Nothobranchius furzeri: one gene and its partners. The protein of the gene in region 1 purifies or fractionates together with the protein of each later gene. This does not show direct contact. Links are inferred from orthologs where the notes say so. Each region holds a gene or a part of one and is shown in the gene's direction. Other genes may lie near its edges. The genes, in order: NEDD4-like E3 ubiquitin-protein ligase WWP1, rnf11b, smad6b, txnipa and spartb.

Evidence for each region.
Region 2: the proteins of NEDD4-like E3 ubiquitin-protein ligase WWP1 (region 1) and rnf11b purify together in Homo sapiens (affinity purification with mass spectrometry; 3 studies listed by BioGRID, with this or other methods). This does not show direct contact. The link is inferred for Nothobranchius furzeri from reciprocal best matches to the Homo sapiens genes WWP1 and RNF11.
Region 3: the proteins of NEDD4-like E3 ubiquitin-protein ligase WWP1 (region 1) and smad6b purify together in Homo sapiens (affinity purification with western blotting; 3 studies listed by BioGRID, with this or other methods). This does not show direct contact. The link is inferred for Nothobranchius furzeri from reciprocal best matches to the Homo sapiens genes WWP1 and SMAD6.
Region 4: the proteins of NEDD4-like E3 ubiquitin-protein ligase WWP1 (region 1) and txnipa purify together in Homo sapiens (affinity purification with mass spectrometry; 4 studies listed by BioGRID and IntAct, counting the BioPlex papers as one, with this or other methods). This does not show direct contact. The link is inferred for Nothobranchius furzeri from reciprocal best matches to the Homo sapiens genes WWP1 and TXNIP.
Region 5: the proteins of NEDD4-like E3 ubiquitin-protein ligase WWP1 (region 1) and spartb purify together in Homo sapiens (affinity purification with mass spectrometry; 5 studies listed by BioGRID and IntAct, counting the BioPlex papers as one, with this or other methods). This does not show direct contact. The link is inferred for Nothobranchius furzeri from reciprocal best matches to the Homo sapiens genes WWP1 and SPART.

What each region holds. Positions count from the first base shown.
Region 1 is NC_091747.1:36,676,238-36,679,752, reverse strand, and holds part of NEDD4-like E3 ubiquitin-protein ligase WWP1, read left to right. Parts: intron 1-2,019; coding exon 2,020-2,201; intron 2,202-2,896; coding exon 2,897-3,293; intron 3,294-3,515. UniProt on the Homo sapiens protein: E3 ubiquitin-protein ligase which accepts ubiquitin from an E2 ubiquitin-conjugating enzyme in the form of a thioester and then directly transfers the ubiquitin to targeted substrates.
Region 2 is NC_091748.1:56,811,052-56,814,195, reverse strand, and holds part of rnf11b (RING finger protein 11b), read left to right. Parts: intron 1-1,459; coding exon 1,460-1,631; 3' UTR 1,632-3,144. UniProt on the Homo sapiens protein: Essential component of a ubiquitin-editing protein complex, comprising also TNFAIP3, ITCH and TAX1BP1, that ensures the transient nature of inflammatory signaling pathways. Promotes the association of TNFAIP3 to RIPK1 after TNF stimulation.
Region 3 is NC_091744.1:65,938,474-65,941,988, reverse strand, and holds part of smad6b (mothers against decapentaplegic homolog 6b), read left to right. Parts: intron 1-175; coding exon 176-232; intron 233-1,922; coding exon 1,923-2,000; intron 2,001-3,515. UniProt on the Homo sapiens protein: Transforming growth factor-beta superfamily receptors signaling occurs through the Smad family of intracellular mediators. SMAD6 is an inhibitory Smad (i-Smad) that negatively regulates signaling downstream of type I transforming growth factor-beta.
Region 4 is NC_091751.1:26,063,963-26,068,152, reverse strand, and holds txnipa (thioredoxin interacting protein a), read left to right. Parts: upstream 1-1,386; 5' UTR 1,387-1,570; coding exon 1,571-1,826; intron 1,827-1,903; coding exon 1,904-1,979; intron 1,980-2,081; coding exon 2,082-2,229; intron 2,230-2,538; coding exon 2,539-2,898; intron 2,899-2,970; coding exon 2,971-3,273; intron 3,274-3,353; coding exon 3,354-3,398; 3' UTR 3,399-3,956; downstream 3,957-4,190. UniProt on the Homo sapiens protein: May act as an oxidative stress mediator by inhibiting thioredoxin activity or by limiting its bioavailability.
Region 5 is NC_091753.1:42,875,664-42,879,770, reverse strand, and holds the start of spartb (spartin b), read left to right. Parts: upstream 1-1,305; 5' UTR 1,306-1,538; intron 1,539-1,912; exon of another isoform or gene 1,913-1,927; 5' UTR 1,928-1,931; coding exon 1,932-2,687; intron 2,688-4,107. UniProt on the Homo sapiens protein: Lipophagy receptor that plays an important role in lipid droplet (LD) turnover in motor neurons.

The sequences.
Region 1 (3,515 bases):
GATAAAAGTCCCACAGCCAAGCGGTTGTAGTTGGCTGGTTAGTGAAGGAGATCCATCAGCTGGGTCATTTGATCCTAGTCCAGCCCACAGCCTCCTGCTGGTGTTATCGGCAAGAATAAAACAAACGTCTCAAATAACACTGGAAGTTTAGGATTTTATTAATGTTTTTTATTATTTTCTGCATTAAACAGAACTTGATTAATTCTCCAACATTAAAAGCTAATATATGGACCCATTATGGATTTTATATCTTAAATTTAAGGCAATAATTGGACTGTCCTATAGGTTTTTAGTATATTTTCAGATTTTTGAGCATTTGCAAAGCATGTTTTTCTCAGCCTGAGGTGTGACTGTTGAGTGAGGAAACAGATTATTTACTTTGTTAAATCTTAAATGTTTAAACTGTTTGGCGCTTTCACACTGTCCGAAGGACTGTTGTGAATGGAGAACTTTTGGGGGGTAGCAGGTTGTGCCAAGACACATTTTTATTTAAAAAAGCAATCATCTGACATGTATTTATTGATGAAAACATCCATATGAAATCATCGCGATGCATCGGGATATCAAATCAAATTAATAACAACAATAATAATAATAATACATCAAACTTATATAGCGCCTTTTAGGTCACTTAAAGGCGCTTCACAAAAAAATGCAATAAACACAATAAAACAAAATTAAACATATTAAACAGACTGGGGGATGCTGGGTTGATCCTAAAGGAAGGCCATTTTAAAGAGGTGGGTTTTAAGCAGTGACTTAAAAGTAGAAAGAGAGACGGCATTCCTGAAGTTTAATGGGAGAAAGTTCTGAAGTGTGGGGGCAGCGGCTGCAAAGGCTCGATCCCCCATGGTACGTTGTTTTGTTTTAAAAGGGGAAAGGAGGTTGGAGTCAGCAGAACGGAGGTGCCGGGAAGGAGAATGGCGATGGAGAAGTTCAGTCAGATAGGATGGTGCAAGGTTATTGAGGCATTTGTAAGTGATGAGGAGCAATTTGTTATGGATCCGGTATGAAACTGGGAGCCAGTGAAGTTGTGTGAGTACTGGAGTTATGTGGTCCCTGGAGCGAGTGTGGGTGAGTAAACGTGCTGCTGAGTTTTGGATGTATTGAAGTTTTTGTAGGGCTGAGGAAGGACGTCCGTAAAGAATGCTGTCACAATAGTCCAGTCCAGAGGTTATGAAGGCAAAGATGAGTGTTTGGGCAGTGGAGTCAGTGAGGGATGGACGGAGACGGGCAATGTTGCGGAGGTGGAAGAACGATACCCTGTGGATGTTGTTGATGTGGGACTTGAAGGAAAGGGAGGAGTCGAAGATGACGCTGAGATTGCGGACTGTAGAGGAGGGAGTCGCTGTGAGACCGTCAATTTGTAGAGAAATATTTAGAACTGACTGTAGGGGAGATTTGGGACCAGTGATGATGAATTCTGTTTTGGAGCAGTTCAATTTGAGGAAGTTGGTGTCCATCCGATGTTTTATGTCAGAGAGGCATCCTGAGATCGTGGAAAGAATGGAAAAATTGAGTCATTGGCCCAATAATCGTAATCGAATCGAATTTGGAGACAAGTGAAGATTTACAGGTGGATTTTCAGCGTGACCTCCCATTAAAGGGCTGAATGTTGTGGTGGGTTTTGTTTTCACCTGTCTGGCTGCACATCCCTGGCACTAACTGAACTCTTTGGGTTTACAAAGAGGCTCTTTCAGCTGTGCTCGTTACGTCTGCATCCTCGTTTCAGCCCAGCCCAACAGTGGTCTCACCAGGAGGGTGTCCGTTCACCACAAAGCAACCTGACAGTGTTGATGGGAAACACTGCTTTATACATGCTGAACTTTTATCTGTTCCAGTTTTTGAAAATGCTGTCAAACTTTAAAAAAATTATCTAAAAAAGTATTCTAAAATAGTCAGAGAGCCTGTGGTGGTGTTTCCTCAAGGACATCTTTCTGCTTTCTCAGGGTAGATGGTTACAAACCTAAAGCAGGAATCAGAACAGCTCAGTGCTTTAACGTTTCCCTCCTCCTACAGCACAGTGAACGGGACAGACTTGGGTCAAAGGTCAGGTTCCTGTTCAGCCACCAGTGGTGCGGAGGGTCAGGTGCCTTCCAGCTCCTGCAGCCCTGCTCCTGATCACACCCTCAACGGGGACACAACACCCAACTCCACCCCAGTGCACCAGCCCTCGGACAGAGAGACGGAGACCAGACTAGGTGAGCTCTCCTCTCTTGACGCATCAGCTGGGTTCCTGCAGCCCTCAGACAGCAGAGACACGGCTTGCTTCTTTATTTTATGTTCAGTTGATGCAAAGCCAGAATATTTACTGATAATGTTTAGCGTCGGATGAGAGTCTGCTCACATCAACCCTGTGGATAAATGAGGTGATATTTGCTGCAGGTCTTGGGTGACGTGCGCTTAGCCTCGCAGGTAGGTCTCTGGTTTGCTGGGTTTTTGTTCTTCATGACTCACAGGCTTGTGGTGAATGGTAAAGAGGAGCAGTAGATTAATTTTCATTAAGTGAAGCCTGCAGCCTGCTGCTGTCAGCACCTTTGTCCCAACTCGCAGGAGACAGAAGGGAGGAAAGCAGAGCTGCTCTGGATTAAACCGATGAAAAGAGGTTAAATCCTAATAAATAAAGCTGCTTTTATACGTAAACACTGAAGTAGGTTGTCTGACCTCATCTTTGGGTTGTGACAATGTTCTGGAGGTGTTCTCTAAATGATGCTGCGTCAGATTTTACACTAATAATGCATGTCTAAATTATTCAGCACTGTGTTTAGTAACAAGTGCTTATATATACGCACTTATGTCAAAAAATGATGAAGGTAAAATTAATAAAATCAAAGCTGGAGCGCTTTCTCGCTTCTCCTCAGACTGCCCCGTTCAGTGTTGGTTTTACTGTCTGCAGTAAATGGGGAATCCGCCGAGGCTGTTCTAAGGGAACCTTCTGCAACAAGAGGTGACGCGCCGCCCCCTGTTGATGACCACGAGGACTGCAATCCAGATGCTGAAACGGCCCCAGCGAGCACATCTCAGCTAGCCTCCACCCCTTCTCCAGCCACCTCTGTTGCTGCTAAACCCGCCAACGGCACTGCTGCTTCCACTACACATGCCTCTCCAGCCCAGGGGGCCACCACCGTCACAACATCTTCATCTTCGTCCTCTTCCTCTCCAGCCGCGGGTGACACAAGTGCTTCAGGAAGTGTGGGAGGCAGCAGTAGTAATGGCACAGCTGTGACTACAGATGGCGTGAAGCCCAGGCAGCAGACGCCCAACGCTGCAGCCTCAGATCCTTTACCACCAGGGTAAGATACCCGTGCTGTCAGCATCGACCAGGTTTTCAGGGCATTCAACACTGATGTCATCAGGCTTTTCCCACTGGTTTCTTCAGCTGATCAAATTGATGTCACTTCATTTAGAGCTCTTTTGTTTACTGAGGATTTTAGAGACAGAATGATTAAACTGATGCTTTTCTTTATGTTATAAAGATATAAATCTTATTAGCTCTCAAATTGTTGGAATAAAAA
Region 2 (3,144 bases), on another chromosome or scaffold:
TGATTGTGAATCGATTTAAATCGATTTCGAATCGAATCGGCACCCTGAGAATCGGAATCGAATCAAATTGTGAGTTGCTCTGAGATTCACATCCCTAGAAAGTACACACTGCTGTAATGCAAAAATTGTTTTTTTCTAAATCACTTTAAAGTAAGAGTGAGCAGTTTTCTGCTCCTCCATCCTACTGGTTGAAAGTACGATAACAACTGTTGTAAACAACCCAACTGTAGCTAGCACTAATAACAAGCTAACACAAATTTGACCTAACTAATGCTAAAATAAACCATGAAATAAAAAGATCCACACTGTAGGACAAAAAATATTTATAAATACTTATAAATCCAGTAGCAACAAAGCCAGGTCACAATCAGTCCGTGATTTTGTAGCATCCTTTAGCTCCCTCAAACTAGTGTAGGCCATGCTTATGTTAACTCTGGTTGTAGCTCTTTGCTTCATATCAAGAGACATTACTCTTACTTTTACTTCCAGGCTCTGCCATGATGCCAACAGAAAAAGCAAACTTCTTCTTTTTCTGCTTTATATTGATGATTGGCAAACTGAAAATGCTAACCACTAACATTACAGCTAACAGCCATAAAGAAGGTAAAGAGCGCCTCCTAGGACACCTACCTGCTCCACTAAACTATTAAGTGCGGTTTTTGGTCAGCGGAGGGCCGCAGAGTGTTGTCAAAAGCCAGTTTCACATTTGGCCCAGGCTGGGTGGCTCCAGATCAGGGTCCTGCACCGGTAGGTTTTGTTCACACATTCTTTTTAGGAATGTGGAAATCTCAGAGCACATGGGCAGGGAAAAGATGCACTGAGAAATCTGTGATGCCTCCCTTAAGTTAAGTAAACAAAGCGTTGCTTTTGCATTCTCTGACTCTGATATTGCATCCTGACTGCTGTCTGTCCTCGCGCAGGGCAGCATGCAAGCCTCCACAGCGCTCCCTGTGTGTGTGCTCTTCACAGCACGTCTCAGTGACAGAGACAGAGAGCTCCTGCAGCTTCAGTCAGAGGCAGTGTTTACTCCTCAGTTTCCAGAATGATAATGAATCCCACATGCGGAAGCCCCTGCTGGCTGATTTGTCTTTGTCAGTCAGAGGCTTCCCTTAATGGTAGGCATGAATTTGAGCCAGTCAGTCGGTCTGCAGAGGTTGTGTTGGGTCAGTTCAGCCCAAAGCAGCCCGCCTGGGGAAGAGGGCTGAAAATATGGTCGGTGGAGCACGAAAAAAAATACAGGCTACCCAGATGTGAACACAATATACCATACCTGGGCCGGACCGACCCTGATGTGAAAACGGCAAAGCTGGTTAAGTTTACTAAGATAAATGTTAAAGCTTTAGCTTAAAGTAAAATCTTTTTTTTTTTAGTAATTTTCATTTTGATACACCAGAGAAGTCATTGAGATAGGTCTTGTGCATTGAGGAGAGTTTACGATGGTATGTTCTCACCTCTGCAGGTGCGTCATCTGTATGATGGACTTTGTTTATGGAGACCCCATCCGGTTCCTGCCCTGCATGCACATCTACCACCTGGACTGTATAGACGACTGGCTGATGAGATCCTTCACCTGCCCCTCCTGCATGGAGCCTGTGGACGCTGCGCTGCTCTCCTCCTACGAGACCAACTGACACAAGCACCCCCTGGACCACACAGGACCTGAACAAATCCATGGACACTCTAAATACACTAAACATCAACTTCCCCAACTTATATCCTGGATTAGTAAGATGGTGATTTCAAAGCATTGATCGTAAAATAACGTAGGATGAATAATGTTTGTGCATAAAAATTTATAATTATAAATATATGTACGGTGTGTGTGTGTGTACACCATTTCCTCAGTTGGCCTGCTGGACAGGACTGCATCTGAGAAAGGACAGGAGGAATAAAGAACAAGAGCAGGGAGGAGAGAGGAGTCAAAGATGAGTGCAGAAAGCCCGGGTGTGTGCATGAAGCGAGCGACAGAGAAGCAGCTGGAACCTGTGAATATTAACTATCATGACTGAGAAATATTTTTATGTTCTGTTTTCAAATTTGGCACACACACACACACACACACAAACAGAAGCATACTCCCTTCCTTTTACTTTCATTACAAGAATGCAGATTGTTTTTCTCTGTCTGTTGGTAAGTGAAAACTTTCATAACCGAAGGAAAAGTTGATTGGTAGTTGTATTTCCTAAGAAACTGTTACAGGGTTGTTGTAGACGAGACTAGTAGAGACGAACACACAACATAGTAGCACAGACTACCAGGCTCCCTCCGTCTTCTGCACACCTACCTTGACTTGTCTCTGCAGATCTTTCCTGTGAAACGTTAGCTGAATGGTCGCTGTGTCGATTGGCTGTTCTGTGGCTTTGTGAAATCTGTTCTTTAGTTATTTTGCAAATCAACATAAGGACTTCGTGTTGAATCGGTTTACCAAAAACACAGACTCAGCAAAAGGAAGTATGTGCTTCACTCATTCATGTGATGATGCTAAAATTATCACTGATGAGATCTCAGACTACAGGCCAAAGCAAAAAGTCAACAGATGAGCGACACTTTGATCAGAATTTGAAATTTGCAGTACTTAAAGGGATTTTTCAGCTGTTTTTAAGTAGGTTCCTGTGTAAAAGTTTTAAAGAATTACTGACAGAACTAGTTAGTACAGTCAAGAACAAAGTGCACTCTCAGAAATCTAATGTTGAATTTACTTAACCAAGTTATGTCAACTGGTTCCACTAAACCTATTACTTAAAGACCAAGTTCATTGAGAAACTGTTGTTTACTTGTTAGTTTTGAAATATGATTAGTCACTCTTGAGTTTCACATGCAGGCTTATTGTGAAAATAGTCTTCTACCCTTGTTTCCTGCATTAGCCACCAATAAAAAAGATGAAAATACTAGGATTAGACAAGCTCAGATCAACTTCACACTGTCACTTAACATCCGTCATGACTCGCGACGGCTGTAGACGTTTAGTGTCCAGGGAATGGTAGAGAATATCTCGGCTAGTAGAAGCTAACTATTAGCATTAGCAACTTTACCGCATGGGAAAACTCCTCCAGGCTTGTGTTATTTGTGGAGATGAAACATCCGTGTTACAACGTAAACTGAGTGAGTCGAGGAGATTAGATGTCAGAATATCAGAACATAATC
Region 3 (3,515 bases), on another chromosome or scaffold:
GTCTTGTCAGAACACAAGTCTTTACAGTTTAGTACGCAAAGAAGCAGAGCTAGAAGTCTTCATCCGACATTCTTTAACGTCCTGCTTTATTCTGCTCTGTTTAACTGAAGATTTTGATTTACAGAAGACTTTTCATTGTGTAATTTGGATATTTATATTACTGTTTTGTGTGCAGAGTCACCTCCTCCTCCATATTCAAGGCTTTCCCCTAACGAAGAACACAAGCCACTGGGTAAGAGACAAAAACAATAATAAACTCTGTTACATTTGAAGTCTTTCCATGTATTTTATGTGGTTATGAATGTTTTTTTAATTGATCATGCTTGTTTAATTTGGAAGAGTGCAAAGACTTTAAGGTGTGGAACACTTAAAACACATTTTTAAAATAATTATTCCAGATTATAATCAGTCGCTCTGAGTTTTTCATGCAGGCTGAACATGACAGTCTCCTACACTTATCTCCTGCATTAGCCTCTGACAGTGATGGTTTGGTGAAAATCCTGGTTTTGAAAAGCTCGACAGATCTACATCACAATATCACTAAGTATTAATGGACTCACCCATCGTGACTCGTGATGGGGAATGGTGTTGTGGGTTTAGCGTCCAGGAAACAGCGGATAACATCTTAGCAAGTAGAAGCTAACCATTAGCATGCAAGTAGAAGCTAACCATTAGCATTAGCAACACCACTACACAGCAGAAAACCTCCATGCTGTTATTTGTGGAGATAAAACATAAACTTTGAAGTGAGTGAAAGAGTCGCGTTGCTGTTATCCAATCCGGAGCGAGATGTTCAAATATCAGGAAATAAGACCATTGTCTAAAGCTCAGCTATGATGTGGTTAACAACTAGTTCCTGAAAATGGTGCCCCGGTATATTTTCCCCCCAGGGTATGACTTACAAGGCATTAATTCCTACTAGAAACCACTGCAAACAAATCGATTAAATGGGTTTCCCACACCTTTAAATAAAAAAGTGTGCACAGGTTGAATTACAGTTGGAGAAAAAAAGCTGAACACACTTTTAGGTACCTGATAATATTTTTATAGATCAGTTAAAAACAATTTATATCCATGAATCATGTCTGGAGTAAAAAAGCACCACTTATATAACAAGAACACCCAGCAGTAAGCAGTTGCGGAGGTGTTCTTTGCTGCTTGGAGGATCTGGTAAACACAACTTATTTTCTTAAATGCATGACCATTAAAAAGAAAACACTGTTTATAAGTGAAATCTGGTAATAACTATACTCTCAAGGAAGATTGTGATTCCCAGAATATGTCCTGCTTAGAAACCATCTTTGCCAGTCCTGTACTCACATGTTGTTGAGAGTTTGGTTTTTGTAATCGCAAAACCAGACTGAAGCAAATTGGAAGGACTGAAAAAAAAAAAAAATATATATATATATATATATATATATATATATATATATATATATATATATATATAGTGAGTACTTCCATCTCTTTGAATTTAGGGAAATAATCTCCACAGGTTGGGTCTCAAAGTCACTTGGACTAATTATAATGCATATCTCTTACCTTTATTTATCAATAATTTAGCTCAAATGTTTATCTTTTGTTTGGACCACTACAGTCAGTTGGTTTGAATGGTTTTGGTTGTAGCTGTTTGTAGTGGGAGACTACTGGATCAAAAGCCTGAGTACAGTTTAAAGTTTCTGGCTGTGTTTGAGAGGATGTCAACACTTAAAAGTCTGCCAGTGAGGTTACGAGGTCATTAACTGTGTGGTGAAGCCTTTGGTGGGGTTTATTGTTTAGAATAAAAAAAAAATCCTATTATATTGGAATGAAAAGTGAACAGGGGTTGCCATCAGGGGTCATCAGCTGGTTCTAAAAGTACTGGGGAAACATTTTGGCATGACCACTTGATCAGGAGCTGATTTCTGTGTCATTCCCTGCAGATCTGTCTGACTCCACTTTGTCTTACACTGAAAGCGAGGCAGCCAGCTCACCAAACATCACACCGGGGGAGTTTTCAGGTGGGTGTGTTTTTACAACTGTTCTTGGCCTCAAAACAAGGTCTTCCAAATGTTTCTGAACCAAAGTAGAGATTAATGATTACTGAAAAAGGTTATCAACCCAGAGCAGCCGGTTTGGTAAATACTGAGGTAATTTGTCAAACAAGAACATCAGCCTGAGAAATGTAAACATAGTGGGCAGAAACGGCTTTTGTCTTTAGAAATATACGGTTTGAATGGTCAGCTGCTGTCTGCATGGTTGTTCTCAGTGAATGGTGATGTTTACACAGGTTCTGGAGTCAAAACATGCACTCATGCTGGCTGATGCAAAGGGGCTGGTAAAATGATCAACTAACTAGCATTTGTGTGCTTATTTAACGTAGGAAGGACTGATATTTGCAAAACATTTATAAAAATACATTATACACTTTATTTTCCTCTCAGAATAAAGTTATAGCTAAATAATACGTTTTAATTTCTAGATAATTATGTCCTTTGATTCCATGCAGTTCTTCAAACTTAGAACTTTTTGTGGGTTTGAGTATTTAGCTTTAAATTAAGGGTATTTCCATTTAGGAGACAGAGTGAATATTGCTATAAATCATAGTTTTGAAATAATCCTTCAGTCTTGTGTTGAAATGTATAAAAAATTATATCCTCTCATAAAAGATGATGTGCTGTGCAAAGTTAAATTCTGAAGTTCTGGAGCATCACAAACGCATTGATGTTGTGAAATAAAGGTCTGATTGTGACTAGAGGTTTTTAAAGAGGGGCGTCGGCATTGGCTCCAGCACAGGCGGCGTCCCCATTTTTTCAGTATTATTTTATTTTTTCAGAAATATTTGAAACTGTAATGAGATCCAAGATTGCTCAGAAGCACACACGCTTACACCTAAACCTTTACTCGTATGTAGCCTAGCTTAAAAGAGAACAAAGGGAGGGGTTCGGAATATGGCCGCTGCTGTGAATGTGGTCACACCAAAAGAAGCAAGTGGAAACACTCTCATCCTCTTTCCTCATGGTGAGCATGGCCCCACACCCCCCAACTTCATGCTAGGGTATCATGTGTTCAGTCAGAGCCCTTATAGTGGAGTATGCATGGACTAGCCTCTCCCTGTTAAAAGGGTCTGCCACGACTCACGGGCCTGGAAGCTGAACGGTTGCTACCTTGCTAAGAAGTATTCAGTCAGCAGAAGCCCCTTCCACCTCCTCCCCTCCCACTCACACAGACTGTCACCACCTCAGCATGGCCCGACGACACTCCCTGAGTCAACAAATGAGGGGCTTGTCAGAGCGCGCACCACAATTCCTCAGAGATTCTGGTGAGGGAGGATCTAGATGTGCAAGGCTTTGGTTTCTTCCAACTGTATCGCTATTCGCACAGGCCGGGTCTGATCACAGCACATTGGTCACAACACGCTCGGCGTTAGGGCCTCGAGAAATAAAATACCCCTCCCTCTGAGGGGTGTTTTCCAAACTTGACCTCATTTGTACCCCTAGTTTTCTCTCTGCTGTTCCTAAACAGGGAAGTTTGAC
Region 4 (4,190 bases), on another chromosome or scaffold:
AATTCTTTGTGTAAGAGGGGGATCCAGTGTGCATGCCCCAACTACCATAAGTCTATTTTAAAGATTTCTGCTCCCCAAAGAAACAGGAAATGCATCACACGACCTTTCGGTCGTGGTAAGACTAAAGGCTGATTCATGCTTCTCCTTCTGCGTCAGTGCGGAGACACGCAACGTCATTATCCGTCCTTGCGTAGGGCCCCGGCAGGCACGCAAGTACGTACGGAGTCGAGCCAACTTTTTTAAACATACGTCAAACGAGACGGAGAACGCAAGCTTGTGATTGGTCAGGGCACCACTGTCGTCTACACCGCCGCCATTGCGCCCTCAAAATCATAAAGAAAGCCGAGAATAACTAGTGGCAGACACGGAGAAGCTTGAAGAATACCTCGCGAAAAAACTCTAAAATATGAACGTTTAATTGCCCCGTGACTGGAGGAGTGAAAAGTTACGCAGCAAGCATTTTATTTGTGGACGGAAATGACAGGAAACGTGGGTTTAGAGGTGGCGAGCGCATGAAGAGGTGGAGGAGAATGAGAGACAAATTTGTCGTGTTAAAAAGTCTCTTATTTACAAAAAACACAATATAAACACACTATGTTGGACTGGATACATGACAGGATACCACAGAACAGCGCTACGCCCTCTGTTGTCCTGACGGGGAATTGCTTTGCAACACTTCCCAGGAGACGAAGAAGTATGAGAGCAAAACACTTCCGTCAATCCGTGTGTGTCTGTCCCTTGCGGAGCTGACGGAGAAGCATGAATCAGCCTCCAGAGGACATTTTTAAACCACACTTAAATGCAGAATAAACAGAGCACTTATACTCTGTATAATTATAGATCATTTCATGGAATTTTCAGGGTGTTTTAAAAGTATGTTAGGATTTCTATCTTCTTCTTCATCTCCCTGTGAGACTGGTAGGGTGGCACCCCAGCGCTCCCTGTGACCGCCACTGCTCCTGAACTATTTTTCTGAACAGAGGCTGTTCAGGACGTTATCTACATCACAGCATTACTGTCCATCTATCTGCTTTTTCAACCATCTGCTCATATTTTGTAATTTTGAAACCGTTTTTCCTTCAGCTATAATGTCCTTTATACTAAAAATGTTTTCTAACAATATTGTCTAAGCCGAACTGGAGCGGCAGGTGCAGCGGATCAGGAATGATATCCTTTAATATTGACTCTTATTCCCCAGTATTGTGCCTGTTCCGAGCTGTTTACTAACTGAGGAGCATTTCTGTTTCTGTCTCAAACTTCGTGCTCACATCAGCTCAGCACGCGCTGCAGCCTCACTGCCATGCAGTGTTCACGCGCTGAATTCTTCTGCTGATTGGCTGGAGGCGAGACAAACAAAGGATTTCGACCAATCGGAGCCATGTGCACGCGCTGAGTCACAGCGGACGTCCCAGCTGCACATGCTCTGCACGCGCTGCTGGTATAAAACGGTCAGAGTCTTTGTTTACAGCAGAGAACAGGGAGCGGTTTAGGAGGGGATAGCTGTCTAACTTTCGGGCGTTGTAACGCGAAAAGCTCACATTGCTGCGCGAGTTGGAAACAGAACGCAAACATGGTGGCAATGACGAAAAAAGTGAAAACCTTCCAGGTCGTCCTGTCGGACCCGTGCAAATCGTTTTACTGCGGCGGGGACCGGGTCAGCGGTCGGGTCGAGGTGGAGGTGTCCGAGGTGACCCGTGTGTCCGCCGTCAAGCTGCTGGGTCTGGGCTGCGCGAAGGTGGAGTACGCTAAAGGCAAGCAGCGGTGCCGCCAGGAGGCCGAGTACCTTCGGTACGAGGAGGTTCTGAGTCTGGGCGACCAGCCCGCAGGTACATGGGGTCCGGGGATTCTCTCTGGGGCATCATCACAGCAACATGCTGATCACAACCGTCTGTGTATCTTTCAGACTCGGACGGATCCGTAGTTCTGAGACCCGGTAACAAGTATGAGTACCCGTTTGGGTTCGACCTTCCTGAGCAGGGGTAAGTCGGACCCAGTCCATCTGGGTCTAGGACGCATCACTGACCTCTAGAGGTAATGCCTTGGGTTTTAACAGGTCTGCTGTGTTCGTTCTGGACTTTCAGTCAGCTGGTGTCGTCATACAAGGGCAAGTTCGGTTACGTCCAGTACTATGTCAAGGCCCAGATGGAGAGACCTCAGCAGCCCACGGTGGAGAGCAAGAAGTACTTCGAGGTGGAAGAACCTCTGGATGTGAACACTCCGGACCTGCTGGTGAGTTCACTAGTGGGTCAGAACCAGAGCGATCTGGTTTCACTTCGGATCTTCTGTTTACATGGGAAACACCCCACTGTTTCCCTGTGCGTGTGCGCGCGTGGTTCCACCATGATACAGTAGATAAGAGGTATCACGTGACCGGCGTATGCAGGAAGTTTAGAAGTGGACTCAGAAGCTGCTCCCAGAGAGGCAGATGGTTTTATTTCAGTAACAGACAATCATGCATGATGACTGGTTCCAATCAGCAGCTCCTTTTTACACACCACCACAGTTCTGGTGATGACAAACTGCTTCCTGTGTCTTCAGTCTCCTGCTGGCGGCATGAAGGAGAAGAAAGTCACCTGCATGTTCATCCCTGATGGCCAGGTGTCGCTCAACGCTAAAATTGACCGCCGTGGTTTCTGCGAGGGTGAAGACATCTGCATCAACGCCAAATTTGAGAACACATGCTCCCGCATTGTGGTCCCGAAAGCCGCCATCATAGCCAAGCACACATACCAGGCTAACGGGCGCACCAAAGTTTTCCGCCAGAAGCTTTCCTCTGTGCGTGGAAACCACATCATCTCAGGGATGTGCGACGCCTGGCAGGGGAAGACCATCAGGGTGCCGAAGATCAAACCGTCCATGCTGGGCTGCAACATCATCCGAGTGGAGTACGCCCTGATGGTAAGTCTGCTTCCTATGGGAGGACTCTGTTAGCCCTGGAACATGGTGTTAAGGTTCCTCATTGTTTCCCAGATTTACATCCACATCCCCGGCAGTGAAAAGCTTATCCTGGAGCTGCCCCTGGTCATTGGGACATCTGGGATTGGCAGTCGCACTAACAGTGTGAGCAGCCAGGAGGGTTCGATCAGCACTGCCTCTCAGAGCTGGGTGTCCCTCAGGATGCCCGCTGAACCCCCGAGCTACTGTGACATCACTAAAGACTGCCGTCTGGACCAGCCGCTCACGCCTCTTCTAGATGATGTGGACTGTGATGACAGTCCCATCTTTATGAACGCTCCCAGCTTCCAGTTCCCATCCCCTCCAGCCTACTCTGAGGTAGGTCTCACACCAGTTAGCTCCATGGCTAGCACCAAGCTACATGTGGCATTACATCTCAAGGTTTTTTTGTTTTTCAGGCTGAGGAGTACAAGGGGAATGCTCAGATGCTTCCTGTCTGCTAAAAGTCCCGAATCCTGGAGGGGTTGTCCACCTCTCCGATTGTTCTTCTAAAGCGCTTCCAAAAAGCTGAAGGTCCAAACTCCAGATGGGATGGGATGTTGGATGGAGAGTTGAACAGAAATGCACTTGCCTGTTACCATGCTTCGTCTTCCATGCTGATGCAGAATCTCCCTCCTGGAGCTGTTTGGGTCGGAGTCCTGAAGCCATCACTTCCAGAGCCTGTCCACAGGCCCAAGAGGCATTTGAGTTGGATCCAACCTGCTGAGATGTCTTCATGAATCATTCCAGTCAGGACTTAAGGAGCTGCTGTTTCGTTGAGGTGTAGGAACAACATTCTCCTGAAGATTACAGAACTCTAATGCTGAGTGATGTTTCCAGATGTTTGAAGCCATTTCTTCATGTTTCCTGTAGCACTTTGTACTTTCTCCACGTCTGCTGACCAGGTTGTCTCTGAACAATATTTTTATGTTGGAATGACTTTTATTTTCCAGTTTCCAGGAACCTACTTCTGAGATTTGCCATTGGCAGTTTTTTTTTTTTTTTTTTTTTTTTTTTTTTTGCTGGAAAAACAGAGATTCAGCAACTCAGACCTGATGAAAGCACCTTCTAGAACATCAGCTCCAGTTGTCTCAGGCAACATTTCTGTGATGGTTCTGTAGTTTTTCTGTTGGCTCAAACAGAACTGCAGCGAATGGCTGATGTGGAAATGTTTTAATGTATCATTTATACGTTAAGTATTTTTGTAAGAAGCCCTATGGGTCTGTTTTCTATTAAAGGCACAATGTTAAATGATC
Region 5 (4,107 bases), on another chromosome or scaffold:
ACCTAGGACTGCATGTACCTGTATGTGCTATCTGTATGGAGATTATGTGAAAAGAAGTCAGCTTAAAGGAGTAAATGCAGTAAACTACGTGGACTGGAAAAGTGTTGCAAAAAGAACAAAATAAACAAAACCCTATAATATATGTAAGGGAAAATTAAAGCTTTAGAGCAAAAATGTTATCAAAAATGGAAGACCTAAACAATCAGTAGCTCATAACTGGCAAAAATTTAAATTTAAGGAAATCATAAAAGTCGTGTAATAAAGTAATCAGTGGTAATAAAAATAATGCAAATATGTGTATGAATGCATCTTTAAAAGAATTAATAAAAGAAAATAGAAGAAGGAACACAAGAAATTAATCAGTGTTGTTAGTAATCAAACCTGCATGTGAATGTGCCACAGAATAATTTAGAGATTAGTTTTGTAAAACTGAAATATAAAATGAACTTAATTAGTTACAAAATATGTAAAAATATTGTAGAAATTCTAAAATCTCTAGGAATTGAAAAATAAAAGAAAACTGAATTTGGACTAACTTAACAGTTAGTCGCTGTAAGCAAATAATTATGAAAAGCTTTGATAGCTGTTTTTCTTTAGCAACTCCATGTTGATCGTGTTTAACTCTCACTCAAATAGATTAAATTTTTTAATTTTATTTTCTTCAAAAAGCTCTCCAATCAATCCCGTTAGCTATGTGCATCGGCACTTTACAACTTCCATATTTGATTTGGGCAGAAAACTACAGTAAAGTGATTTCTGTTATCGGAGATTTTGAGGTTTATTTTGAAAGTATTAACCGGATATTGTACATATTGTTAGAAAAACAACTTGATTAAATGACTTGGTTGCAGTTATAAATAATGACCGCTAGAGGGAGGCAAATGCTAGCTACGGCTCTCTTAGACACAATATACTTATACAAGGGTTGATTCAGCAGCAGCCTTCAAGCGACGAAACAAGCTGAAAGTTAAACAACTAATTTATCAGTGTGATTGTTCACTTACATTTTTGCTTTCAATGAGTGTTTATTTAGTTTGATACCCATTGACTTTGTGTAGTGTTGCGTTTCCATTTGGACGCACCGGACAAGCGGCCGATGCAATCTTGCGCCCCGCCCCAATCTGCGTACTGCAGTCAGGGGCTACCATCGGGGGCTACTCATGCATAGTGTGTTTTGAATTGTCCCACACTGCCCTCCTGTGGTAACAATAACAAATGGCAAGAATTAAAAAGTCAAGCCCCAGTAGCAGTATAATTACTTTTCCGGTGCATACTTTCACAATAAAAGCAAAGCTAAGTTTAGCGCTAACATTTGTCGCCTGCGTCAAACATGCGTTCTTCCGGTCAAAGTGTTGTTTTGAAAGGTCACGAGTGTGCTTTGTAAACTCACCCTACAGCGTGTAGCATTTAGAAACCGTCTGACGCAGTCTGCTCAGTGTAGGAGGGAAGTCTCGGAGAGAAGGCATTCTGAATCTGGAAGAATTGTTTGCTAACAAACAGCTACTAGCTAACTTGCTGTTCTTTTGTAACTCACTGAGGTAAGCCAAACAAACTGTTGATATCAGGAGTTTTCTGTGTTATTTAGATTATTTCTGTTCGCTGTAACATTGAAAATATGCAATAACAACTCATCTTGTCTGTACAGGAACGTTAGCTATTTTTGTTTATTTATTTATTTAATCAGAATTAGCTCAATGCTCCATCCGACTACAGCACAACAAACACGTGTAAATCTGACTGTTACCTATGCTTTGATCCAGTTAAACACGTTTTGTTCATCAGACGAGCAGTTTGCGTAAATTATAAATGAACTTTAGAAAGTTGAGCTAACTACAGTTAGCATTAAAGTTCTATTTATTTACCTTGTTGGTTGTTGCGATTAAATATAGAACAGCTGTCTAAAATTAATCAGATTTTACTTTGCAAGGGGGATGGAGAAGGCTAAACAAGATGCCTTTGATAACGCCAGACTTCAGTTGATCAACGATGGCTATGAGAGTGCTTTTGAGTGCATCAACAAAGGACTAACAGCAGATGAAGCTGGAGACAAGACACAGGCCCTGGAGTTCTACAAGCGGGGCCGACAGCACCTCATCAGGGCCATCAGTGTGCCTTCGACGGGAGACGAGTGTCATGGTAGCTCCTGGGAATCGGCCAGACAGATGCAGCATAAGATGCAGGAGACGCTGAACAACATCACCACCCGCCTCGCCATCCTGGAGACCTGCTCTGATGGTGAAGCTGCACCCGCACAGGATGCAGAAGGTCTGTACCCAAAGCTCCACTTCAAAGAGAAGCCAGAGAGACCGACTCTACCAATCCTGCTTGCTGGAGCTGTAGGAGGCGTAGCTGTGAACTGTCCACCCGTGGGTCCAGCTGAGCAGCCTCCAGCTTATTCTCCTCAGGCAGCTCAAGGCCACATATCTGTCTCCTACGGGACAGATTCAGGGGAAATGTCACTGGTTAGGGATGAGTTCTACAACCGTACATCTCACTCAACGCCATCTCCTCAGGGCATGGACGAGGATGGGCAGGAGTTACTGTACATTCCTCATGGCGTCCAGATCTTCTACGTCACACCTGAGGGCCACGTAAGCGCCCCATCATATCCGGGCTACCTTCGTCTGGTGAAGTTTACCAGCGATCAGTCTGACAGGATGCCTGATCGACCACCAGCATTTCTGCAGGTATGACAGGAAGCACTAATTAGCCAAACATGTGTCTGCCTGATGCAATAAGTGCTTAAAAAATGTCACCACTGCTGGCCTGACTCTAGCCGTTTCCCTTTAACCTGATTCTGTGAGGCATGCTTAAGATCTCAGACTGCAACAGTGGGAGGAGGTAGTCTTGTCTGTTATCCACTTCTCTCGCCCTATGAACACCCATCATTTGGGAGTAGTTTATCTCGTCCCTAATCCTGTAGACACTGATGTCATCCTCTCGGGAATCAGGATTAGGTGTGTTTAAAGATAGAAAAAGAAATCATGAGTCATGATTCCTTTGGTTTTATTTGGAGCCGGATTTTAGTCAGCAGCAACAATTTGAACAACGTTGATACAGGTGCTGGCCAGTAAATTAGAATATCATCAAAAGGTTGAAAATATTTCAGTAATTCCATTCAAAACGTGAAACTTGTACATTATATTCATGCAATGCACACAGACCAATGTATTTCCAATGTTCATTACATTTAAATTTGATATTCATAAGTGACAACTAATGAAAACTCCAAATTTGGTATCTCAAAAAATTAGAATATTCTGAAAAGGCTGAATATAGAAGACACCTGCTGCCACTCTAATCAGCTGATTTACTCAAAACACCTGCAAAGGCCTTTAAAAGGTCCCTCAGTCTTGTTTTGAAGGCACCACAATCATGGGGAAGACTTCTGACTTAACAGCTGTCCAAAAGACAATCATTGACACCTTGCACAAGGAGGGCAAGACACAAAAGGTGATTGCTAAAGAAGCTGGCTGTTCGCAGAGCTCTGTGTCCAAGCACATTAACAGACAGGCGAAGGGACGGAAAAAATGTGGTAGAAAAAAGTGTACAAGCTCTAGGGATAACCGCACCCTGCAGAGAATTGTGACGACAAACCCATTCAAAAATGTGGGGGAGATCCACAAAGAGTGGACTGCAGCTGGAGTCAGCGCTTCAAGAACCACCACGAGGAGACTCATGAAAGACATGGGATTCAGGTGTCGCATTCCGTGTGTCAAGCCACTCTTGAACAAGAAACAGCGCAAGAAGCGTCTCGCCTGGGCCAAGGACAAAAAGGACTGGACTGATGCTGAGTGGTCCAAAGTTATGTTTTCTGATGAAAGCAAGTTCTGCATTTCCTTTGGAAATCAAGGACCCAGAGTCTGGAGGAAGAGCGGAGAAGCACAGAATCCACGTTGCATGAGGTCCAGTGTAAAGTTTCCACCGTCAGTGATGGTGTGGGGTGCCATGTCATCTGCCGGTGTTGGCCCACTCTGTTTCCTGAGGTCCAGGGTCAATGCAGCCATCTACCAGGAAGTTTTAGAGCACTTCATGCTTCCTGCTGCTGACCAACTTTATGGGGATGCAGACTTCACCTTTCAACAGGACTTGGCACCTGCACACAGT